Linked DNA regions of Caenorhabditis elegans. The protein of the gene in region 1 interacts with the protein of each later gene in a pairwise test. Each region holds a gene or a part of one and is shown in the gene's direction. Other genes may lie near its edges. The genes, in order: mut-16, hcp-1, smut-1 and mes-4.

Region 1 (7,603 bases):
GTGACGTAGGTTCTTTGGAGACAAAGTGTCCAAAGTGACAAAGGATCCAGTAGACAAAATGGGGTGTATCTTGGGGCCAAGGATCAATGGTACCAACCTTTTTTCAACTAGTTTCTTATATGTATTTTTCAGCTAATTTTTGTTTATATTTCACTGGAAAAAGTTTTTTTAATGCACTTTCCATAGGATTTTCGGTCATAATTCGCTCAGATAAACTTGTAAATGTCCTTTCCGATCGATTTATTCACTCGATTAGTCGTTGAATGTATATGGTGAGTGAGATTATGCGATGCTCAAAATGAATTTTCAATTTTCCCGCCGATACAGAAACTAATTTTGATTAAGGAACATTGTGGTGAGTGCGCGTCTGGTCCCGACGCGAAATTAATTTTAATGCTTTGAAACTTTTTTCTAATATTTTCGTTAAAAATTAAGGTTTATAGCCTTCAAAAATTATATATGGTCTTCAATAATTTTTTATTAAAGCTTTCAAATATTTAAATCTGAAATCTTAACCAAATTTTAAAACTACATACGATTTAATTTGAAATCATACACGTGAAATGAGTGTGACCGTAGTAGAAGCGCCGCTTTGTTTGAGTTGTATTTGAAAAATGTATTTTCTCCTTTTCAACTTTTAAAACTGCGATTTACTTCACCATATTCGTTATTTCTTTTCGTTTTCAAAGTAATTATTGTTTAGCTATTCAAAAAATTACTAAAAAGCGATAAAATTCGAAACAGAAGGTGTTAATTAACATGTTAATTGATCCTTTTGTGGCCTAAAAATAAACTATTTACCGATACACTTTCATAATAGTTCTTTCGGAAAATTAAAGTACTTTTTTGTCGATCGGTTTGAGAAAATGTGCCGGTGAATTTGATTTTATATATATATTTTTCAATTTTAAAAGCCAGTTTATCGTATACAAACAAATTTCTGTTATGTTTTAATGAAGCGACTGTTCATTAGTTTAAAAAACATGCCGATTTAGATGATTTTTTAGTTTCAAAACGTTTTCTTCAATTCTAATACTTGTTTTCGATAGAAATTCAACTTTTCCTGAACGCAATGCAATCGCGCTCTATCGACGTTTCAATGAATAACCGTCAATCATCTGCTTGCCGATCGAATATTTAGAACGCGTTTTATTGCTCCTTAACATTTTTTATCATTATTTCAATTGAAAAAACCATTTAAACAGTTTTCCAATCAGTTTGTTTCAAAATTGCCTTCCAGATCGAATTTCATTTAAATCTCAAGCACTGGAAATTGAAGAACAAGCTTCCGAATTCAAAAACAAAACAAAATATTAACTGTTAAAAATCTTTATAATCTATGATTATTGTTTATTGCAGACTTATCGGCTCAAAATGAAATGAATTAACGCAACAGTGCACGACTTGAAGTTTTAGCTATTATATATATTATTGAGAGACCTTATTACAAATTTCGCTTGTTTGTCCCAGAATCGTAATACTTCCTGGAATAGAAAGTTTTCTTTAATGCCTCTAGCAAATTATCGTTTACTTCTCATTTATTGCCGTTCAAACGTTTCAACCCACTCAAATACTCGATATTTGCAGAAAATGTCCGAAAGTGATGATGATTATCCGGAATTAGACATCTCCGATCAATATATCGATCCATTGGGGATCGTTGTTGGTCCACCACCCGCCTCGTATACGGAAACTGATCGTGAAGAAACTCCCATGCAAAATCGAACTGAAGATGACACTAATAGCTATGGAAATTCATCGGGTGAACATGACTACGATAGTTATTTGGATTCAGGAGACGATGACTTTGACGTGGATGCCTACTATGCGGTAAGATTCGTGTTCGTATATTTCAATTTTATTTTCTGATTCAGAATGACAATATGGATGAACCTCCACCAGAAACGATACCGGACAATCTTATACAAAACGTCATCGGAAGAAATGATAACGCCGATTATGATTTCAGCGATGCAAGTAATCCAGAAATCATGAAGGTATTTAAATACTTATATGATCTCGTGACCTAATGGTTTAGCGTGATCTTCAGCTGTTCCTGAGCTCTTCATTGCTGAGCAATCCATTGAAATTCCGTTCTGGATACTCCTCGGATGAATTGGATGATTGTTTGAAATCTTGTATGGGATACAGTCTTCAAGTAACAGCTGTTTTATTGCTTCCTCCAGAAATTATTTCTCAGCTTCCAAACGATTCCAAGGTAAATTACAATGTGCATAGGGAGACTATAACTTAATTGTTTTCAGACCGAACACGCCCATGCACTTGTACGAGGAGGTTGGCTGCAGTCCAAAGAGGGCGCATTCTTTCCAGTCATTTCCGATTCAGAACGTGAGACTGTTGTTTCGTTGATGAATGGATCCGAAGAACAGTGCGTTTTTTTTGTCACGAAAAGCTCTGAACGACTCGAAATAAGGCACCGGCGATCAGAGAGACGCTATTACAGGCTTTTTTTGTGGAAATTTTTATGTGAATTATTGTTAAAAACAGCAATTAATTTGTTTTTTGCACTGAAACCCCGTCATAATTGCTCTCGTAAATCGATATAATTCCCTATGTTCATGGAATAATCGAATTTGAATTATTTTATTCTTGTTTTGAACATATTTTTTCAAAATCAATAGCGAAATTGCTCAAATTCCATTTTTTTTAATCGAATGACTATTGTGCCGATTCACGAGAGAAATTAAGAAAATATTTCAGTACAAAAAAAAAAAATATATAAGTTAAATATTTCTGAGCTCTCCTTGCCAAATCACCACAAAAAAAACACAGTCTCTTCGATCGGTGGTGTTTCCTCGAAATGGCGTATAAAATTTGCAGGCACAAACGCCAGGAAAGGAAGAAAAAGGAAGCAGATACATTTGAATCCGAAGAGAAGGAAATTCGTACTCTACTCACATTCAACATGATTGCGGAATTGTTAATGGCTGTCAGAAATGAATATAGCATTCGTTCAGTTAAATATCAAATTCTTTCAACTGCTTATACAAATATGGTTACTGGTGCGGCACATGCGAATATTTTTCGAAAATATAAGGATATTCTTCAACTCGATCCAGAAAAACTGTGGAATAATGATTGGTTCAAAGAGTATACAAATCGAGGAACACTGAAGAAGTTTCTAACAACTGCAAGATTTTCTGAAATTGTGGTTTCACAAGCCAACGGCAAAACTGTAGAACTCTATTTTAGAGCTGACGATGAAGGAAACCGTGAGTAACTAAAAATATTTTCGATTTATTTTCAACGTTTGTTCATTCAGGACCAGTTGTTCTTTTCACTGATGAACATATTGCGGATGTTAGGAACAAATGGAAAACCGGCAATCAGAGAAATCAGAACTACGGAAGCCAAGGCAATTATAGGGCCGGTGGACAGAGATCAGGTACATTGCATTTTTTGTGATTATCTAAAAATCTTTCTTTTCTAGATGATCGTCGTGGTCCACAACAACGCAGAAATGTAATTGTACCAGATCCGAATTATCAACCATCGACTTTTGCTGGGGGCATTTCTAACAATGCAGATGATGATGGATCGTTGGTGAGTGCGATAAAAAAAACATTCATTATTCACAAAATTCTTTGTGTGCAATATAGAAATGAAATTTATGTGATTTTCAGCAACCAACAACTTCATCGCACTTTAATCGAAATACTGATCGGTCAACATCTCGTCCTCCACGTGCACCCACTTCTCCAGTCAATCGTGTGATGGAAACAGATCCACTAATGGGCCAAGGCACTTCGTCCGGAGCCCCTCAACGATCCGCGATTCCGAATCCATTTGGTGGAGCACCAGCTCTTAGCAGAAGCACAATCACCAATGGTAACCGTGGTCCTTCATATGGAGATCGTGGTGAGCGTGTTCAAGATGTCGGTGATACGACATCAGATAGTGAAATCACTTCTGAAGGATCCTACTCTGATGAAGATCCCGAGCAAAAGGAGATTAAGCGTCAAAGAAGAAAGGATAAACTTAAAAAGAAACAGGAAAGAGAACTAAGAAGTCGTGAGAAGCACACGAAGTCTAAGCAGCAACCTCCTTCGAAAAGTACGAATTTTATCATTTCCAAAGCGGAGTTTAGTGAATGGGGATGATGCTTCGTTTTTTTTCATTTTTCTATTGTGGTATTTCTGAACTTGAGACTATTTTAAATTTTTGAACTTTCAAACACCAACGATATTCCGCCTTACAAAAATTTTCCAAAATCACCAATTTGAACTATTAAATTTATGAAAATCTATTTCAGTTGAGACTCGATTCAATACGTACAAGAAAAAATCAGAATCATCTGCTACTGACACTTCCAATACACCTCCAGTTGACACTGTGAATGTAGCTCTCCCGACTCCAGTAGTAGAATCGTCTTCTACGACCGCAGCACCGTCAATCCCTGTTTCGACACGTCCTGAAGTCGTCGTTCCACCTGAGAATCCAGCTCCACTCAGAGAAGTCGGAAATTTCTACTCTAAATCGAATCACGACGAGGATAGACGCAATGTTCAACTTCCTTTCACACCAGCGGATACGCACAAACCGATTAAAGTTGCGCCAAAAGGTATTTTAAGCAGTTTAGGACTCGTCTTAATAGCCTAAAATCAGTTTCAGAGCCTGTACGGAATCCGCTTTTGAAAGAACGACCTTCAGCCAATGGTTTCATCAACAGAAGGTTCCTAGCTTTAAAATTTAATCTTTCAATTACCAAAAAAATTATTGCAGACTGCCATCACATCCAGCACCACCACCAGTCAACCAAAGTCAACCAGCCAATCAACCAATGCAAACAGCTGTGGTAATTTCATTTTTAATAATATTTTAAGTCTAAACATTCTATCCACACTTACGTTAGAAAAAATTGTTAGAAAAATCTAATGCCTCCGTGCATTTCTGTACCACTGAAATTTCATAGTGATCCAATTTTAATGACCGTAGTCTTGAGAACTTTGACTGTGTATCTACAACAAATATTTGAAAATTTGCGAAAAATTGTTCACATGATTACATTTTCGATCTATTTTTGCTGTTTTCGAAATAGTTTTGCTTCACAGTTCGGATAAAGTTGAGAGAAATGTGAAATTATAATTTATTGAGTTCTCTGGAAGACAGAAAAAATTAACAGAAAAACTGAAAGAAAACAGTATTGTTCACGTGAACAAGAATTGGGACATTCTTTTAAAAGACTGAAGATCTTTTCCATTAATTTATTGTCCAACACAGTCAGAAACTTTTCGAAGTGATGCGTTGGGTATTTGAACCATATTTCTTTAACCATGTTCGTTTTTTTCTCAAATCCTACAAGTTTGAAGTCATAATCATTATCTTTTCAGTATCAAAACTCTCATCCGGGTGCACCATATATCCCTCAACAGCCAACATATCAGCCACAGCTTCCTGTACAACAACCTCAACCACATCAATATGCGCCTCAACCAATACATCATCAACAGTAAGGATTATACTTAAAAATTCATTCCAAAAGTTAAATAAAGAACGCTCAAATGGACCCAAATCGAATTTTTTGATAAGATTTCGCAAAAATTTCCGAAATAAAAAAACTCTTTTTCGGTTAATAAATTCATAAATTTGACAATATTTTCAAGAAATTTGATATTATTTGACCATCTTTAAAAGTAATGTAAAACAATTCGCGTAATAATTGTAGTCTTGGGGTTTTCATGCAAGCAAAAGACATATCCTTTTTTGCTAAAATTGAGAAAAAAAAACAGAAAAATTCACAAAACTAACATTTTTCAGGCCAATCCACCAACCGATGCACGGCCAACAGTATCCGCCAGTTAATCAGCAGCAACCAATCTATCAACAACCGGCACCACAGTATCCACCATACAATTCAATTCAGAACAACCCTCAACATGGTCCTTCTCCATTTAATTATTCTCAAGTGCCACAACCTGCTTATAATCACGTTGGCCAACAACCATCACATATGAGCAATCAACCTCATATCAATCAAAATGGATATCAAAATTCGTACAATCCGAATCAGGGTCCGACTTCTTCCGATCCAAATTATGGATGTAATCCACAATTCAATCATTATGGCAGTAGATCAGTTTATCATGAAGATCATTCATCACAAAGAAGAAGATCACCTGATCAGTTTCCACCAAATCCTCCAGAATACGATCCACACGGAAACTTCAAACTTGCTGATTATGAAAGAGATCGAATGACAGTCGGATACAGTCAAAATCCACATCAATTTGACCATCACGGAAGTCATATGCCTCATCAGTCACAACCACAAGGATATGACAATTTTAACGGAAATTCTGCGCCGTACTTTAATAAAAACGGAGGACAATCAAACCATCAACCGGAAGCTCAAAGATCTTTTAGTGTTCTCTCTTCGAATCGTCAGCCATCGAACAGGGAATTAATATTTCAAGATGGAATTGAGAAGGAATTGAGAGATATAATTCTCCGTTATCGAAGCATGAACTTGACAGTATTGACAGTAAGTAGTAATTTTCGTTGAAAGTTTCAATTTGTTCTACGATGTGATATTAGTAATTATATAAAAAGTATTACGAGAAAATTTGATTGACACATACGAAAAAAATCTTTAAAAATAAAGAGTATTTTCAAATCATCTCTACACTATATTTTCGTATAATTAAAACAAGCTTTTTACTTCGAAAAATGCCATGTTTTTTCTTTCAAAAAGACTTCTTGATTAGAGTAACTGTACCAATTTTATGTTAAGTTTTTTTAATGAAAAGGTTTTCGTTAAAAGTGAATTATTTTCAGGTACAAGAACTGAGAACAGAAGTGAGCAGACGTCCTGCTATTCCTCGGTACATTGATATTGTCCAATATATTAGAGATTCTTCATCGGTTGCTATAGTGGAAAGAGGTGACATTGAGCCGTATGTCGTTTTGAAAGATGATATCCGAAACTAAGAATTTACTTGTTCCTATTACTGTTCCATTTTTATTTGTATTCACCCACTCGTCTCAATTTTTTCATTTTTTCTAAACCCATGTTTTTTTTTTTTAATTTTCGTTCTTATTGACTGCCTACTGATTATTACCTGTTTTTTCATACTTGAATCGCCAAACTTTCCTAATTAATATTTTTACGAGTCCAAATTTGTGTTTTAATATTTATAAAAAGTAGAAGAACCGGGAGTCAACTGATAATAATAATACTGCACGAATATTGGTGGTGACGGTGACAATTCAAAACAGGGATACGTGTCTCTGGGAAAGGGATGAAGGGAAAACTCGGGTTGAAAATTGGAACGAAGGCACTGGATGGAGGATGAGGGATGCACGTTTTCAGTATTTGGGGGTGATTGCTTCAGAATTGGCAACTTTTTGAATCTAATTACTGTTTTCCTTTTCTTTGGAATTTCAGAAATATTAGATTCAAAAAGAGAAAATAGCTCGTATTTACAGCATAATTATACTAAAACGAATGACAAAGTGCAACTACGTAGGGGAAAAATACAAGAAAACACAAAATGACAAATTTTGCAAATTTTGGTGAAACTATTTTGGAGAAAAATGTTGTCCAAAAAAGGATACACACTACGACGGTTTTGAAACTAAAATT
Region 2 (7,433 bases), on another chromosome or scaffold:
AATATTTAAAAAAAGTAAAAAAACTGGTTTTTTTAAAAGGATTTTTAATATTTTAATTTTTTTTTAATTATTTATGTTAAAACATTCTTGGAACATGCCACATTGCCCTGGATTTCTTTAAAGCCCATATTTTTCGAAAATTTGCCAATTTTCCAAAACTTTGACTGGAAATTTTAAAAACTTTAAAAAACATTTTGGAATGTTTTATTATGACGTTCTATTGTTATTTTTCAGAAACGGTTCGTTGCTACTGCAAAATCCATAATTATGAATTTGTTCTCGCAGTTGATACTGATTTCAAATGTGCTCATAAAGATGTAAGTTCTAATTTTTTTTAATTTAAAAAAAGCTAACATTTCAGAAATTTTTCCGCCGCCACTGTGTTTCCGCAAAGATTCTCCCATTATTTGATGCGATCCTATTCTTAGACGCTGATATTGGTGTTGTGAATCCAAAGCGAAAAATTGAAGAGTTTTTGGATGATGGAATTGATGTTACATTCTATGATAGATTCTATAATTGGGAGATCATGGCTGGATCTTATATTGCAAGAAATACTCAATATGCTATTGATTTATTAAACGGTTAGTTTTTTATTCGAAATTTTTGTGATGAATTTAATAAAATTGCAGAGTTTGCTGATTATGAGTACAAGTTACCAAATAGTTTTCATGGAACGGATAATGGAGCACTTCATGTAACTTGGTAACTTCCTATTTCAATTTTTATTTTATTGTTTAGATTTTCCTTGCCGAAAAGTTGTTCCCACAGGCTTCTGCAAATACGAAAGTATGCAAAAAAGCTTATAACAATTCTAAAAATTTTGATGATCTCTTCACCTACGAGTCATGTATCCGAGCAATATTTGGCGTATCCACTGATTTTGGAAAAGTTAGAATTATGAAAAAAGTAGGTTTAAAATTAATACCACAACATCTACAATATTAACTGTACAGGGAACAGGATGGGCTAAAGACGGCTGGCTGACATCAATGATGTGGCATCCAGAGTTAGATTTCATGTTCCATGGTTGGAAAACGAATCAATTGAGAGAAACGCCGAATGTGAAGCTTGAGTTGGCAAATTACCTGAATTTTTTAAAAATTATTCAAGTATTACAGGCCTAGCCAAATGGGACGAGATTTTTGGTATAATCCTTTGAGTGGGCCTATAGATCTTCAAAAATGTAGTCCTCAAAATTCGACATGGTCATACGATTCACGACTTCGTGGAGATAAAAACGAAATTCTGAAAAGCCTGAGAATGTTCGAAGAAAATGTTGCATTTCAGCAAGTTTTGTCTTATATCCGGATGATGGGTTTATTGTTTCAGTAACCAGCAATTTTAAACTTTAAATTCAGATTTTGTGTATGTATATTTACTTGAATTGTAAGACAAGATATATTTTTGGAATAAAAATTTGTGAAAACTACATAAAACGCAAACGATGGTTTTTAATTTTTTTGTTCCAATCAACCCCATTTTTACAAGGCCACAAACTGCAAAATAAATAAAATATACCGATTTTCACTTGTAGACCTATTATATTTTGACCTTATGGTCGGTAAGAGCAACCGTGCTCCACCGCACATGGCGGGAAGGTTTCAATTTTGAATCACCACGCGCGGGAATCCGGCACTTTTCATTTCGTTCATTCATTCATTATTCATGAACGTTCATTTTCAGTTATCTGACATTTGGAAAATACTGTTTTGTTACTTTATTTGTTGCCACATAACGTCAAAAAGTTTCACACGCAGTATTTAATAGATATATTTCTAAAAACTTATTTTCCCCTTAATTTCCTGTTTAGTACTTTTTTCCTCCTTTTTTCAAATCACGCGCCCTTTTTGATTTTTAATATCCCTTGTGTAATTTCCATAATCATTATTGCTAATTTATAGATAAATCGACGTTTCTTTCACAATGGACGAATCGCCGATATTCGACAACGAGAACAAGCGCTCAGCTGGAAATGTAAGTTGAATTTTCTCAAAATTTTAATTAAATCAATGACAATATAAATTATTTCAGAAGCGCCAGCAAACCGAGTCGCCATTTTCCGCCGCTACGCCTAAATCACGACTAGGAAGAGAACCGAAACGCATTTTTGGAACTTCGTCGGGCAATATGGCCGATAGCAACCTGGAGGAGACCTGCCTCGAGCATGATTCCCGCCCGTCTTCTGCTTCTTCTATCACCCCTGCCGACAACACAAGTCTACTGGATTTGTCTACAGTAACAGCTTTGGCTACTGATGATGCATCCTTCGTGGGAACCAACGATGCTTCCATCACTCCGGGCAGCAATGTTGATGTGAATTTAGAACAATCTGAGCTCTACGACACCTCAAATTGCACGAGCAACCTGAGCATGGTTCAAGAAAGCGACGAGACGGACGCCGATGCCACACTGTCCAATGATTTCGATAATCAATTGGCACTTGACGGAGAGACTACGCCTACTGCTTCTCGTACTCCAATGAGCCAGATTCTGAGCCGAGAATGTACTCCAACAGTATCTAATCCACAGCTTCTCACGGAAATCGCCAAAGGAGTAGATCAGCCTACAAAGCCAGTCCGAGATGTCCCCCAGTCCCCAGTGCTTCCTGTCAAAGGTCACATTGACTTCTCACTGTAAGAAATTGTCGTATTTATAGCTTAAAACAAAATAATTTCAGACACGAGTTTGAAATGTTGGAGCAGAATTCCGAGCATGAGGAGTCAATCAAACTTCTTCAGTCGCAGATCGAGCTTCTCCGTCAAAGTCACAGTCAACAGCTCAGTGAGATTCAAGAAGCTCGAATTTTTGAGGAAAAGATGCTGACTCAGCAAGTAGATTCTGCAATGAAAAAGGCAAAATCTGACCGCGAAGCCGCTAAGGCACGAGAACAAGTTCTCGAGAAACAAGTTCAGGAGTTACGCTTGAAGCTGGAAGAGCCTGACGAAGAGAAGAATCAGTTGGTACACAATCTTGCTGCTCTGAACGCTCAAATCGAGGAGTTGACCCAGAAGGCTTTGAAAGTAGATTCGATGCAACAAGGAGCGACTGCTTCGGAAGATCGGATTCGGGAGTTAATTGGAGGCCATCAAGAAGCAATCAAACAGCTTGAGAATACCAAACAAATGAACGAAAGTCTTCAGCGCGATCTAGTAGAGAAAGAAGCGAGATTCAGTGAAGAGGTTTTTATAGAATTTATTGCCGAAGTAAATTTAATTAATTATTTTTAAGATGGAAAGGATTCGCACCGAATCACAAACAACAAGTGAATCGCTGAAGTATGAGCACGAACTTGTTCGCAAGATGATGATTGAGGATATGGAGAAACTGGAGGCAGAAGTACTCGCCCTCAAATCCCAACAAGCAAACTTGGAGATCCAAGAATTTCACGACAAGATCAAACAACTTGAATTGGAGGTGCAACTGTCGTCTGAGAACAAAGAAAAACTTCAAGCAGAGTTAATGGTGGTACAAGAAAAAGCTTCCGAAAACATCAAGAATGCCGAGGAAAAAGTGAACGGCCTTGAAGCAGAGGTTGGCTTAATTGAATAATCACAAATCAATATATATATTTTTATTTTTCAGGTCGAAAAGCTGCGATTTGAAGCCACCAATAATTCTCGTGTTGTGGAGCTCGAGCAACAACTCGAAGAGTTCAGATCGCTCATGATTAAAGAGATTTCTGATTTGGAGAACCAGTTAGAAGCTGCAAAACTTGAGTCAGGATCCACGAGTGAGCCCAATGCACAGTTGGAGGCATCGCAAGCTACAATCCAGGAATTGACTTCTGAGATGAAGATGCAGTTGGAAGAAGTGAAGAGACAGTCTGATGAAAACAATTCGTTGAATGTACATCTGACATCTTCAAACGAAAAAATTGCGGAACTAACGTCTTCATTGGAGATGGTGGCTGCTCAACTCTTATCTTCACAACAAGAAACTGATGTTGCCGTCACTAAGGTGGAAAATCTGGAGTTGAAGATGGAAGAGGCTCATCGAATGTATTTATTGGATATTGAACTGTCAAGAGTAAAGATTGACGAACTTCAGTCTTCTATTGAGGTGCTTTCAAAGCTTGAACGTGAGGTTCAGTCATCCAATTTGCAAAACGAAGAGTTGAAACTTTCTCTGAGGAATTTTGAAGAACTTCAAGCCGATCTTGCCATGTCGAAAGCAAAGAATGAAGAACTCGAACAGCAAATTGAAGATTCTAGTCGGGAGTTTTCTGTCATCACTGAAGCAAGTAAGGAAATGAAGTTGAAATGGGATTCGTCTGAAGCTCAGATGTCTGAAATGATAGCTTCTTTGGCCGCCTTCCAAGAAGAAATGCAATCAACTCAAGCTGATGCTGTCGCTTCTGAAGATAAAGTCAAACAGGTGGAATCTTTGTTGGAGAATTTGAAGGAACCTTTGGAGGAATTAAACAATCTTCGTGCCAATTTGAAGGATTCCAACGATAAGATTTTGGATCTTCAATCTCAACTCGAATTGGCTCAGCAATCTTCGGATCTCGCTGATCGTCTTCAGGAGGACTTGAGAACTTCAGATGCCAGGGTCCAAGAATTGAATATTCAAGTGTCTGAACTCGAACAGCAAATTGAAGTTTCTAGTCGGGAGTTTTCTGTCATCACTGAAGCGAATAAGGAAATGCAGTTGAAGTTGGATTCGTCTGAAGCACAGATTTCTGAAATGACAGCTTCATTGACCGCCTTCCAAGAAGAAATGCAATCAACTCGGGCTGATGCTGTCGCTTCTGAAGATAAAGTCAAAGAGTTGGAATCTTTGTTGGAGAATTTGAAGGAACCTTTGGAGGAATTAAACAATCTTCGTGCCAATTTGAAGGATTCCAACGGTAAGGTTTTGGAGCTTCAATCTCAACTCGACTTGGCTCAGCAGTTTTCGGATCTCACTGATCGTCTTCAGGAAGACTTGAGAACTTCAGATGCCAGGGTTCAAGAGTTAAACGTGCAAGTCTCTGATCTTCAAAGCGAGCTTGAAACTGCTCGCCAGGACACCAATGCTGTTCAAGTCGTTATGGAAGCTCTTAAATCAGAACAAGGTGAATCGTATGAAGCTCTTCGTGCTGAACTTGACGCTGCTGTTCAAGAAAAAGGCAGATCTTCTGATCTCGTAACTTCGTTGGAAGGTAAAATTCAGGAGTTAGAAACTGCTATCGAGAGTAGTACAGCTGAAAACGTTCAAAAAAGCAAAACCATCCAAGACTTCACCGACAAAGTGTCACTACTTGAATCGCAAATCTGTGAGCTGAAAAGTCAAAATGAGCAGATGGAAATTGATACTAACTTGAATATGGATCAGTTATCCGAAATGTCTTCTCAGTTGGAATCTGCAAACGCCGAGCTCATTGAACTGACGAGGACTTCCGCTGAGACTATTGATAAGCTTCGTGGAGAAGTAGAAAAGTCTACAAAGGCAATGATGGATCAAGAAGAACATCTTGCGGAACTAGTGGCCAAGATTGAAAGCCGAGATGTTGAGGTTTGACGAAATTTCTCTTTTATATTTATAAAATTGTATTTTTTCAGAACGCGGATCAAGCTGCAAAGCACAAGGAAGAACAAGAACGCCTCCAATCCGTAATTGATACTCTTCGGACATCACAGAGTACAATCGAAGAATCTCAAGCCAAGTCAGAGGAGTTGAATTCACGCATTAAAGAGCTTCAAGCATCAATTGAGTTTGCACAAAAGGCCCTAGCTGACACCGAAAACGCAAAGCAGGAGAAAGTCGAAGAACTCGAAAAAGTTCAGGAGCAGATGCTAAACCTCGTGCAAGCTTTCGAAGTGGAGGTTAGTTTAACGGACATTTTTTTAATTCCAAATTTATTGATAAATTTTACAGAAAGCATCGATCCGATTGGAGTGGAACTCGTCTTTGAGCAATGCAAACGAAAAACTCGAGGCTGCAGAGGAAGCACTCTCTCAGAAAGAGAACACGATTGTTACTCTGGAGTCGCGGATCGAAACAATCTCACAGCAGTTTGAGGCTCGCCTGGAAGAAGCAAATGTCTGGAAGTCGCAGGCAATGCAACTCGGCACTCTCACTCAATCGCTTTCGCAAATGCAACGACAGCTTGGAGAAATGCATGAGAAGATGGAAGCATCTGACCGTCGTGTCATTGAAGTCGAAGAACAAGCTCAACACGACATCACTTTGATTCAAGTTGAAAATAAAGAACAGTCGGAAGCACTGGAACAAGCACATTCTCGTATTCTGGAACTTGAGGAAAAGTTGGTGAGGGCTGAAATCGAAATCCAGCGATTGGAGAAAGTTTGTGATGCATTTGATGATGACGAGCGGGAGTATAAGGACAAGATCATGACACTTCAGTCCGAGATCAAGCAGCTGAAGGGTGTAAAGACGCCGCCACGAGTAATGGGACTGATCGAGCAAGCAAGACTTGGGTGAGTTGAACATGTATTAAAATTGACAAGTTGAGCGTTTTATTTTCAGTGTGAAACAACTGAGCCGCGAAAGCTCACTTGTCGAACCGCAAAACTCTGCTCATGAGGATGCCTTCGAAGATGCGCAGAACTCCTTCCAAGATCGTCTTCAAACCATGTCGAATACTACTGCCCGGCAGATAGATGCTTCAAATCATCATCCGGAGGATCACGTTTTGGAGAAGTCGGCTCGCGAAACTCCATCGAAGAAGAATCGATCAAACTGCCAACACCAATAGGCTATAAGATTCTCTCACCCCACTAGATCTCTCACCGTCCCCCACTAACATATGTGCCATGAATACCCGTTCTGAACCCATATTTACTTGTCAAATATTATTTGCTTTTAGGGTCAGAATAAACGGGTTTTTAAATTTATCAACGATTTTTAGTCTCATTAAAATACAATCAAAGAAGATCCTGAATAAAGGTGACGTCATTTATAGTGAAAAAGTGATATATTACAGCTCAGAAATTTCACAGGATTATTATCATTGCAAATTTTCGCGAAGTTCGATGTTCTCTCCTTTCGCATGTTCAACAATCCATTTAATCAATAGATCCTTCGAACTGATAGCGTCTAATTTGATAGTCCACTCCAAGTTGTTATCTTTGTTCAGAATAATTCCAACATTTGGTTCAGCGTTTTCTGAATTAATTTGATCAGTTTGATCAGAGGTAATGCCAACTGGAGATGTCAGTTTCACACGTATCTTCTCATCTGTGCTACGTGGTACATGATGCTTGATTGTTAACAGTACAGGCGGTCCACTTCTTGTATTCTTTACACTAATCGTCTGCTCGGTGGCATGAGTTGAATGTTTTGTGATGTAACCGCCTTCTTCATGGAACTTTTTGGCTGGCTTATATTCGATACGAATGGCCGTGTCCACGCCTAGAGAACAGGTGAATCGTTCACCTGGTGACACATCTTTCATGTGACTCTGAAACATGAATTGCAATAAATTC
Region 3 (4,256 bases), on another chromosome or scaffold:
ACGGGCTTGACTCTCGAAACGAATTTCAGTTTGAAGTATGACAGCAATTTTAATTTTCGTCCATTTTTTGAGACCCGAAGAACTCGGGGGATGTCCAATTGGGGGGATTACCAACTCGGGGGATTGGCCCCGCCCACAGAACCGTGGCTTGCAATACGCCCATTTCTGCCGCACGGTTTTTCATAACTGCCGCACGGTTTTAAAATTATTTTTTCTTGTTATTTCTCGCTCTATTGAGAAAAATACAGTTTTAAAACCGTGCGGCAGTTGCAGAAATGGGCGTATTGCAAGCCACGGTTCTGTGGGCGGGGCCAATCCCCCGAGTTGGTAATCCCCCCAATTGGACATCCCCCGAGTTCTTCGGGTCTCAGACTTCTGAACTTTTCGCATGGTTAAGAACGTGCTGTCGTAACACTTTTTGTATATTTCTATTAAACATCGTTTTTTATGCTGGATAGCTGTTTTATTTCTAATAATAAAAATTGAAAATATCTAACTAGCATTCAATTTCAGATGATACAGCGAAGAATGACCCTGAAAATATTAGCTAGGAGACATATTACAACTTAAAACATACGAAATGTAAATTTGTTTCCGATTATCAACAAAATTGTACATTTTAACGATATTTTTATCAATAAAGACTAATTTTTACATATAAATGTTAATTTAAAGCAAATCCGTGACTTGACGTGATGGTGTTTGCACACTTTTCACCACAATATACGACATTCAAGTTATATGCATTTTTTTCAAATGATTCTATCCTTTCTTTTCAGTATTCTTTACGGTTTTATTGATCAATTTGTCACCAGTATAATCGATCATGTTTTATTTCTCAATAATTGTAAAACAATTTTTCAGATATCGGCCCAAAAATGCCCGTAGACTCGAAAAAATTGGTCAAAAAAGCTTGTCAGCACATAAAACCAGTTGAGAAATTCGAATGCGAGACACAAAGAAGTACTACAACTGATGGGTAGGATCTTTGAATGATTTTCAAATTAATCTTTATTATTTTCAGCGAAACTATCAAATTCGATTACATGTGGGCGACACATTTGAGTGATGAAGACTTCGAGTGGGTGTTCAGTTTATTCAAAGAGAACATGTACGATATGTATCACAAATCCCAGTGGGGATACGATGAAAATTCCAAGCGAAACGAACTTCGTGCAACAACATCAAGGTTCATCATCGCGAAGAATTCGAAAGGGGATAAAATTGGCTATACCACTTATCGATTTGTGGTCGATCACAACATTCCTGTGGCATATTGTTGGGAACTTCAAATTGTACCGGCTTATCAGAACAAAGGAATCGGTGGCATGATGCTCGACACGCTGGAAAAGCTCTCTTCAAAGTACAGTTTCAATTAATTCGAGAGCCAATAAACAAAAACTCTTATTTTCAGGACAAACATGAGTAAAGTCATGGCAACAGTTTTTCTGTATAATGGACCGTCGCTCGGCTTCTTTCACAAACATGGATACAACAGCGACGTGACGTGCCCATCCGATGATTCTGGTCTGGATTATGCGATCCTGTCGAAAGAGACACCGAGCACATAAGAATATTAAATTCTGATTCTATGATTTTCTAATTTGTTATCATCTTCATTCTGGCTTAATTGTTACATGTATTTTTTTTTGGGTAAACAAACGTTTTTTATATTTCTACTTTTATAATATTGTGTCGTAAAAACCGTTACTTTTCGTTCAAATATTTATTTTCAAACCAAAATATAAACATTTTTGTAATAATCTTTGTAGATGCCTCATCCTTGGAACACTGCCGATGCATTAGACGATAGTCGGGTACAAGTTGAGCACATTGATTTAGTTCCTCCAAAGTATGCAAATGTACTCAACTTCAGATCTATTAAAACTAGAGATTATTATTTTGGTAAACCATGTTCTGGGCAATTAAATATTTCAATAACTTTTCTTCAGCAATGAGAGATCGTCATCAGCAGTTGGGCGCAGTCACATCTTCAAAAGCTGAAACTGACAAATTGAATAAACACTGTGAGGAGAACACGATAATGGTGGATCAAGACGGAGTAGAAACTCCAGCTGATTATGGAACAGAGAGGATGGTTGCACATGCAATAGAAGATCACCGACTTGCCGCCAATTTGCAACGAATAAAAGTTCATATTCTGAATGCAGTTCAACAAAAATCAATTCAAGCTATTCGTGACCGCCGAGGACTTCTAGTGGATGCTCCAACTGGAATCGGGAAGACTTATGCGTTTCTTATTCCGGCGATTGAAATTGCATTGAGGGAGCGACCATTGCTTACCAATATTTCAACCACGCCATCACCAACTATTCTTATTCTTGCAAATACCAACTCACTCGTTGAACAACTTTTTAATCGTTGTGAAGTTCTTCTTGGTTTGATAGATATGGAAGATATTATACCTATTCGAGATATTAAAATTGAAAAACTAGTTGCTAGCTATCAGTTCACAAAAGGTTCGTTACAGCATTCGTCTAACCAAAAAAAAACGAATTCTTTATAGATCAATGCGATATTGCGTTCTGTACGATGGGAAAGCTGAAAGCATCGATCGAGGATAAAACAATTCTTCTTGACAATTTGAAAATGATGATTTTGGATGAATCTGATAAAATGATTGACATTGCATGCTTCGGAAATGACATTGATTGGGTTTTAGACCAACTACAAGAGGATGTGCTCAGAAATCTTCAATCTTGTTTCTTTTCTGCGTCTCACAACAGAAACGAAGATGGTTCAATTGCATTAACTTCACGTCAATCAAGAATGTTAGGTGAAAATCCATGGTCACTGATCCATTGTCCGAGATTGCCTGGATATATCACTCAACGAGTTATTCGAATTGGTGGACAGCGAGTAAATGATATCCATTCGAATCCTTGGATCGTTAAGATGAATATTATTTGTAAATTGTTAGATGATGATCTCAAGGAAATGGGAAGCACAAAAGAAGGCCCATGGAAGCATACTATTGCAATTTTCTGTGAAACTGTCTCAAGAGTTATTCAGGTTTTACCCCTATTCTTTCGATTTTAAAAATATTGAGAACATTTTCAGGTAACTATGGCACTTCGTCAGATGGGATATAATTTCAAACCTGTATGCAGTAGTGTGTTGAAACAACAACAAGCAATCACTTTGAATGATTTGGAGTTTTGCAACATTCATGGAGTTGTATGTACCAATATTATGTCGAGAGGAATCGATGTGTCTTCTGTGAAACAGGTAAGTTTACATATATATTAAATTGATAAAAACATGGCTACTATTGACCCAAATATTTTTTATCTTAAGTCACATATTTCAGACAATAATCATGGAAATGTCCACCGATTTTCCGAGCTACATGCATAGAATCGGACGAGTTGGTCGCGATGGATGTGGTGGAAGAGCTACTGTCCTCATCGATGAGCATCATTTATTTGGCGGACCAATGTCGAATATTATCGAGCAGCTGTGTTCTTTTATGCTCGAATGCGAGGAAACGCTTCCCAATTGGCTTGTAGAATGGCTGAAGTTGCGTCAATCACTTTAATTGAATCACATATCAATTTCCTATTTTGTGCCGGTTTTTATCGCTTTTCTATGTATCTGATCCTGTATTTTATATTCATTGAACTAATCGAACTCGTAAATAGGTTTTAAAATTTTTTTATTATAAAACAAGAAAGGCTATCCAGCATCAAAATGGATGCTCAATAAATTAATAAAACAATCAATTAACCCGAGAGAATAGGAGAGACTTGAATGCGGGGGAATTGTGATGGAGTGGGGGCGATTGTATGAAGCGAGTTGAAAAGCTGTGCACGATTTGCTTAGAGCTCATCGTGTCCTTCCTCCTCTTCCTTCTCCTCCTCATCATCATCCTTCTTGGCCTCCTTCTCCTCCTCGGCCTTCTTGCGAGCCTCCTCCTCAGCCTTGCGGGTTTCTTCGTCGGCCTTCTCCTTCTTTTCCTTCTCAACAGTCTTCAATTTGTCAAAAGTCTCGGCAGCATGGGCCTCGGCCTCCTCAACAGAGTCGGTGATGATAATGTTGTCAAAGATCGTTCCTGACTTGACCTGAAAAAATAAAGTTTGAGTTTCATTTTTGAAAAATAGAATAAAAGTTTCTTACCTGCCACAAATCGAATCCGATGGCTCCCCAGCTTTCATAAGAGTAGAGTTCATCATCAGGAGTGTACTCTGGGTTCTCAATCTCTGGATGGATCCACTTGCCCTTGTAGGCTGGGTTCT
Region 4 (6,837 bases), on another chromosome or scaffold:
TTTCGAAAAAAAAAGAGCCAAATTTTGCTAAAATCTAAAATTTCGCACACTTTTCTTTGTCACAGCTGCTGGATTTTTGTTTTTCTGAAATTATCACCATTTAATCCTTGTTTTGGTAATTTATCTCGCCGGAAATTCGTTGATGGAGACAACTTCTGGGCCGCTAGGCATCCAATTTTGATCATTTTTGGATGCCTATCGGCCCAAAAGTTGTCTTAATCAACGAATTTCCGCGAGATAAATTACTAAAATAAGGATTAAAGGGTGATAATTTCAGAAAAACAGAAATTCAGCAGCTGTGACAAAGAAAAGTGTGCGAAATTTTAGATTTTAGCAAAGTTTGGCTCTTTTTTTTTCGAAAATTTGACCGGCCATAAAAATGTTTGGAAATTTTTTGTGAAGTCTCATTATGAAATTCGGTGGTTTTGGACCAGTTTTAGTCTATTTAAGCAAAATACCCACAAACTGTACTCCCCCTTTAATGTACACGCCTTGAAACATATTGGTGCATTTTCAGACAATTTTCGAGTCAAGCCAAAATTGTTGCAGAAATTTTCCAAATGCTCGAGCAAAAAGCTTCAAGAAATCTCAAAAATGGAACAATCTGCGTAGAAACTTTACTATTTGCATGATCTTTATGTTTCGTCGGATACACGAAAATTATGAAAATATGGTTTTTGACAAAAAACAACAAAGCCAAAAATGCAGAAAAAAACGACATAATGCCGTCATAATGTCGGCATTATGCCGTTATGCCGGTCATTTTATTTTTCGGCATAACGGCATTTTCGGCATATGCCGTGAATTTTCAAATCGGCATAACGGCATATGCCGTGCTCCAAAAACCGGCATTATGCCGGCATCGGCATATGCCGAATGCCGAATGCCGCACAGGTATGGCGAGAATGATGTGAATATAGGAGACCCGAAGAACTCGGGGGATGTCCAATTGGGGGGATTACCAACTCGGGGGATTGGCCCCGCCCACAGAACCGTGGCTTGCAATACGCCCATTTCTGCAACTGCCGCACGGTTTTAAAATTATTTTTTCTTGTTATTTCTCGTTCTATTGAGAAAAATACAGTTTTAAAACCGTGCGGCAGTTGCAGAAATGGGCGTATTGCATGCCACGGTTCTGTGGGCGGGGCCAATCCCCCGAGTTGGTAATCCCCCCAATTGGACATCCCCCGAGTTCTTCGGGTCTCCTTATTTACATAATCAAATTTGCAGCAATTTTTTGGGATTTTGCAAGCGATTTTCTTTGCATTTCCCGTGATTTCGAACCTTCTTGGCATATTTTTTAAAAGGAATGTTCATAGTTTGCGGAAAACGGAAATTCAAATTTCTCGCGGTCTGAGGCGTCCATAGTGCAGTTTCTTCGCCTTTTTTCTATCAAAATTCAAAAGTAGGTGGGGCCTGCAGTTTTTCGCTTTTTCATTGCTCAGCTTGAAATTTTGCAGCCTCTGATTCGTTGGAAACGCCCAATTTTTTGAAACTGACCAATTGCGAAGCGAAAAACTCCCTCGTTTTCCCCTCTCACTGTAGACGCCTCGGACCGCGGGAAATTCCCGTTTTCCGCAGCCTATGGACGCACAATTATAAATTTTTTTCTTAAGAATCTCCATTAATCACCGTTTTGATAGTTTTCCGCTGTTTTCCTTTAAAAATGCATATATTTCTCAAAAACTAAACAATTCGCGCTTCCGTCATTTTGGAGTATCGTTGTAAGGCGCGACTTTCGAATGTGTCCTCGATCAGCTTGAATAACGTCTCATTTTCTGTTTTTCTTTTATTAATACTTGTCAAAAAGTCGATTCATATTCTAATTTCATTTTCAGAGTTGCTTACTTCTCGCGCTTGGTGCCAAATTATGCTGCCGAGCTCTGGTGAGTTTAAATAATCGAAAATCAGGTCGAAAAATGCATCGAATTCCAGGTGACTCCAGCAAAGAGAACTGTGCTCCACAGGACGGTATCGTTGAGAAAGAAGGACCAAATAAACCTTTTAAAAAGAAGAACGTTAAACAACGGAATGCTACTCCACAAGGCGCGGGTTCCGAAACCTCATCCAATGCAGAAGACAAGCAAGAAGAAGCACCGATTCTAACGAATGCTCCCAAAGACATTATTTCGATGCAAATACAGGAAACGAAGGCATTTCTTAGTGAATATGAGGAGTTCGTTGACACAGATTATCCAAAAAGTATTTTCATTAATTAATTCCAGGCAGTCCATTAAATTTTCAATTTTCCAGCTACCTTCACCCACGTGCCACGAAAGTTTCTGAGTGTTTCGCCATTCACCCCGATTGAAGCCGACGCGGAAGGAGAGTTTCTTCCAGATGCTGACTCAAAATGCGTGATTTGCCACGAAGAGAAGGATAAAACCGGAAAATCTGATTTGATCACATGTCATGGATACATCAATGGAGAAATGGACGACGGCAAGCGTCTCTTGGGAAATATACCAATGTTTCCTTGTCGTAGTAAATTTCACGCGAGTTGTATGATCGTAAGCTATTCGATTATTTTTCTTCATCAAATATCGTGTAAACTTTTAGAATTACAACAGTGGCGGCTTTCACTTTCAATATGCAGCCCGACTCGAATGCCAAGCAAGACTTCTGTGCCCTCTTCATTGCTGCAATAGTTGCAATTTGGACCATCACAAGCAATCGGCTTATGTTGGAGATATTGCAGAATGTGCTCTCTGTCTCCGCGCTTTCCATTTGACGTCGTGTTATCCATCAGGTGGCCGAGATTTGAATGTTTCGATAACAATTGGTGGGAAAGTGGAGAAGTTCGAAATGATAATTTGTCCAGCACACTATCTACCTGGTGCTGATGTTCAATTCTACAATAAACATAAAAAAAGAAAAAACGCCGTCACTGTTGTTCCGAAAGCGGATGTTACAATGAAATCCCATATCAAAGCGTGTTGCGTAATTGGATGTGAGAAATCTTCGAATTCAAAAACAATCATGTGCAAGACTTGTTGCCGATCGTTTCATTCTGGATGTCGAGAAGTGGAAACGCTGAATGGAAAACCGATACCAGACGATCAATGCGAATCGTGTGTTTGTGGAGATCCGATTCCGCAAAATACATTGATTCTCGCGAAGTGGACGGACAATTCGTGCGTTTATAATATCAGAATTATCAAATTCATGTATTTTCTATTCAGATTCTGGCTAGCATTAACACTCGATTGGTACAAGTACCCTACTGGAAATCGTGGTAATATCAACTTTGAACGTCTTGGATATACTGTTGTCCAGTGGCTGATACCCCAAGAAAATGATAAAGAGAAACAACCTCTCATGTCAATTGTGCCGGTCTCGGATATCGCCCGTCTTACCAAGAATTACTTTTCGTTGGCAAAGAATTCGACGCTTAGAAACTTGTGGGAAGAGAAATATGAGGAACAAGCAGATACTGCGTTGAAGAGATGCCCGTACGTGTGTAAAACTGTATTTGGAAGACTGAGAGTGAGTATTCTACTGATTCTTCAGGAAATATCTAATTCGGACTATGGTTTTGTATTTTTCAACGGTTTGGAAAAAGGCTTTTATTCAGCTAAAATTGCGGAACCGACGAAAGTTAATATCTCAACCAACGGAACATTACTTTTAAAAAATTAAAAAAACAAAAAAGTTCTGAAATTTGTCAGATCTGCAATATTTGAGATTTTAGCTGAAAAAATGTCATTTTTTTCCAAAATTTTGAACCGTCTAACTTCTTTTTGGAGGAAAATGAGAATGTCTCATTACGAAATTTGGTAGTTTTAGACCATTTTGGGACAAAAGTGCAAACAGTGCTGCAGAAAAATTCAGCTAAAAATTGCCGAAAAACTTAACAATTATTTTCTTACTTTTAACCGATTCAGATTTATTTATAGCAATTTCTTCATAATTCCAGACATCTGTGTACTACAAATGCGAACCAAAACTGGAAGAGTATCACAACAACGAAGTTTGCAATTGTGAAGGAGCTGACCGCTGTACAAAGCTGTCGTGTCAATATCTCGCCGATGATTATGAATGTCCCCCGAGTTGTTCGAAAAAGGGCGTTTGTCATAATCGTCAAGTTTCCATGGGAATAGTTAGCGAGAAAATCAAACTGGCAGCCACTTTGTGTAAAGGATACGGTGTCTTTGCGAAAGGTCAAATCGAAAAAGACGAATACATATGCGAGTACGTTGGAGAAATAATCGATAAAGCTGAAAAGAAGAGGCGCTTGGATTCGGTTTCAATTTCGCGAGATTTCCAGGTAAGGAAAAAGTTTTTTTGCGATAAAAACACGAATTTTTACTTTTTCTTTTAACCGAATTTTAGAACAAAACGTTCTGAAATTTTCTCAAAAAAAAGTTACGGCGATTCAAAGTTTTGGGAAAATGCCTATTTCCAGCTAAAATTTTATATTTTGCCAATTGTCATTTTCAGAAAAAAATACGAAATTTGGTAGATTTGGGCTATTTAGGTCTAAGAAGCAAAATATCAGAGTTAAGTTATCAACGTATAACTTTCCAAATACTCTTTTTTTTCAAGGCGAACCATTATATGATGGAATTGCACAAAGGATTAACCGTGGACGCTGCCAGATACGGTAACATCTCCAGATACATCAATCATTCTTGCGATCCCAACGCTGCATCTTTCGTTACAAAAGTGTTCGTTAAGAAAACCAAAGAAGGCAGTTTATATGATACTCGCAGTTATATTCGGGCAATTCGCACTATTGACGACGGCGACGAGATCACGTTCAGTTACAATATGAACAATGAGGAGAACTTACCAGACTGTGAATGTGGAGCTGAAAACTGTATGGGTACAATGGGAAAAGCGAAACGCGAGAAACCGGAAGTGGCTGATAGTTCCGAGAAAGCTGCTAAAAAGAACAAATCGTCCAAGAAGAAATCTGTAAAAAATCAGAATAGAAAGAGCCAGGAGGTACCAACTTTTTTTCTAAGTTTCAACATTTTGATTTTATTTCTTATTTTCAGGCCGGAAAGAACGGAACCGCATCTAAGAAATCAGAAATTTCTCCTTCGAAACCATCCACAAGCTCCGCGTCGAGCACTTCCTTCGTCCAACAAGCATCATGGCCAATTTCCCAGAATAAGAAAAATTTAAAGGTATTTTTTGGAGATTAAATCGATCAATTGCTGCCAGCAATGATGTCGGTTTTTCGATTTTTCACTAAAATCGAAAATGTTCGTTTTCACGAAAAATATCTTTCAAAAATTTTGTAATTGTTCTTCTTTTTAGAGAGAAATTTAAAAAAATGTTTTCTTATTTTATTCATCAACATAAACATAATTTGATTTTAAAAAAAAAGAACTTTATGGTTAATTTTTAAAACATTTTTTTCGAGTTTTTTCGGAAATAGAAAATTTTAATTATTCGATTTTTGATGGCACCCTTGGTTGCTAGAGTTAACTTGGTCTAAATCGAATTTTCAATTCAGGTACATAGCCATTAAACATAATTTGTTTTTCAGAAGAATTCCAATCAACCTGTAGCCGACACCGGATCAACATTGAGTACATCTACAGAGTTGAATTTCCACGAAAAACCGCAAGAACTCTTGAGCCCTGTTTCATCGCGATCGCGCGCAGCTTCATCTTCAACACCACGGGCACAAAAATCAAAGGTACGATAATCATATTAGTATTAATATCGATTATATTCGATTATATTCACAGAGCCGTCGAGATGATGTGGAAAGTGAAGCGCCACCTGTGAAACGAGCTACGCCATCATTGCAAACAATTCAAGAAACCGGAAAAGCGATAGAGTTTCCTGCAACCAAGTCGGCTATCACAAAAGCACGAGCGTTGTCGACACAATCAGTTCCATCACCTCATACTGTGGAGGTCAAAGTTAGAGCAATATCTACTCGTGGACGAGTTCAAAAAGAGACAAAACGGTTTGAACCGATTTGAAAAGTGAAATAATATGCTGTCTCGCCCAATTGAACTCTTTCCAATAGTCTTCCAAGTACTAAATTATGATTTTACTTCAATTAGTTTCAATCAACAGTGCCCTCATTCTTTTTAATCGTACTATGAGTTTTTCCTGGACTGTCGACACAATTTTTGGAAACGCTGAAATTCATTTGACCAACGTTCAAAGAATAACGAAGACTTTCCTATTCATCTTTTTTGAAAATTATTTTCACACTAAACTAGGGGTTTTATTATTGCTTTAACCATTGCTTTCATTCACTTGTCATTTTTTTTTCCCTATGTGTTCTTTCGTTCTTGTTACTGCGTCCCATCATATCGATAAATACGACTTTTTTTTCTCATCTGTAATAAATACCTTTGCAAATTACAAAACAGAGTTAAGCGCTGCTTTATGACGATAAAGAGAAACTGGAGAAGATTAAGAAGAACACAATGGAACGACTTGTTTTGAAAAAAGACATTGGAGTCGATGAATCACTGCTAAAGATTTTGATTCGGAAGTAAAAAAATGCACATTATTGAGAAACCACGTGTCATTTAATTTCCCTATGCACAATAACAAAGGATCTTCGGATAGACTTCTTGAAAGAAGACTGAAACCATTTGAGCGGAAGCGATAATTCATTCATTAATTATTTTATGTTCGCTTGTTATACGACAAAATTCTAAAAATTTCAGTCTTGCACCATTTGCCAATTCAATAATGCACGCGTTCTTTGAAATATGGCACTGTATATGGGCTTTACTTGGATGCTCATTCAATTTAATGCTCATTTACATGGCTATCTATAAATCACCGAAGACAATTCGTTCGTATGCAACTTTGATTATCAATTTTGCTGTTACCGACTTTTTCGAGTGTGCTTTGGAT

What was found.
Region 2: the proteins of mut-16 (region 1) and hcp-1 interact in a two-hybrid assay, tested with the Caenorhabditis elegans proteins (one study listed by BioGRID).
Region 3: the proteins of mut-16 (region 1) and smut-1 interact in a two-hybrid assay, tested with the Caenorhabditis elegans proteins (one study listed by BioGRID).
Region 4: the proteins of mut-16 (region 1) and mes-4 interact in a two-hybrid assay, tested with the Caenorhabditis elegans proteins (one study listed by BioGRID).

The regions. Positions count from the first base shown.
Region 1 is NC_003279.8:10,078,572-10,086,174, forward strand, and holds mut-16 (MUTator), read left to right. Parts: upstream 1-1,587; 5' UTR 1,588-1,590; coding exon 1,591-1,830; intron 1,831-1,874; coding exon 1,875-1,997; intron 1,998-2,038; coding exon 2,039-2,218; intron 2,219-2,264; coding exon 2,265-2,389; intron 2,390-2,841; coding exon 2,842-3,233; intron 3,234-3,283; coding exon 3,284-3,406; intron 3,407-3,451; coding exon 3,452-3,564; intron 3,565-3,644; coding exon 3,645-4,074; intron 4,075-4,273; coding exon 4,274-4,582; intron 4,583-4,632; coding exon 4,633-4,693; intron 4,694-4,743; coding exon 4,744-4,816; intron 4,817-5,351; coding exon 5,352-5,470; intron 5,471-5,778; coding exon 5,779-6,502; intron 6,503-6,795; coding exon 6,796-6,948; 3' UTR 6,949-7,137; downstream 7,138-7,603.
Region 2 is NC_003283.11:6,592,300-6,599,732, forward strand, and holds hcp-1 (HoloCentric chromosome binding Protein), read left to right. Parts: upstream 1-1,894; 5' UTR 1,895-1,926; coding exon 1,927-1,977; intron 1,978-2,034; coding exon 2,035-2,636; intron 2,637-2,680; coding exon 2,681-3,182; intron 3,183-3,231; coding exon 3,232-3,534; intron 3,535-3,585; coding exon 3,586-5,499; intron 5,500-5,546; coding exon 5,547-5,810; intron 5,811-5,862; coding exon 5,863-6,425; intron 6,426-6,474; coding exon 6,475-6,703; 3' UTR 6,704-6,909; downstream 6,910-7,433. Other genes in the region: ZK1055.2 (Nucleotide-diphospho-sugar transferase domain-containing protein), read left to right, coding at 235-317, 362-584, 633-697, 742-909, 957-1,075, 1,122-1,335; ZK1055.6 (Protein F37C4.5), read right to left, coding at 6,956-7,408.
Region 3 is NC_003283.11:6,095,333-6,099,588, forward strand, and holds smut-1 (Synthetic MUTator), read left to right. Parts: upstream 1-1,772; coding exon 1,773-1,905; intron 1,906-1,952; coding exon 1,953-2,480; intron 2,481-2,527; coding exon 2,528-3,033; intron 3,034-3,081; coding exon 3,082-3,249; intron 3,250-3,331; coding exon 3,332-3,559; 3' UTR 3,560-3,751; downstream 3,752-4,256. Other genes in the region: Y38A10A.7 (N-alpha-acetyltransferase 40), read left to right, coding at 879-979, 1,025-1,363, 1,415-1,571; crt-1 (Calreticulin), read right to left, coding at 3,840-4,082, 4,138-4,256.
Region 4 is NC_003283.11:13,432,547-13,439,383, reverse strand, and holds mes-4 (Histone-lysine N-methyltransferase mes-4), read left to right. Parts: upstream 1-1,838; 5' UTR 1,839-1,870; coding exon 1,871-1,886; intron 1,887-1,935; coding exon 1,936-2,202; intron 2,203-2,253; coding exon 2,254-2,510; intron 2,511-2,559; coding exon 2,560-3,134; intron 3,135-3,182; coding exon 3,183-3,486; intron 3,487-3,916; coding exon 3,917-4,267; intron 4,268-4,545; coding exon 4,546-4,947; intron 4,948-5,000; coding exon 5,001-5,132; intron 5,133-5,497; coding exon 5,498-5,650; intron 5,651-5,702; coding exon 5,703-5,942; 3' UTR 5,943-6,334; downstream 6,335-6,837. Other genes in the region: srd-17 (Serpentine Receptor, class D (Delta)), read left to right, coding at 6,670-6,837. UniProt on the Caenorhabditis elegans protein: Histone methyltransferase. Dimethylates 'Lys-36' of histone H3, a specific tag for epigenetic transcriptional activation. Plays a central role in early development and is responsible for all H3 'Lys-36' dimethylation until about the 40-cell stage.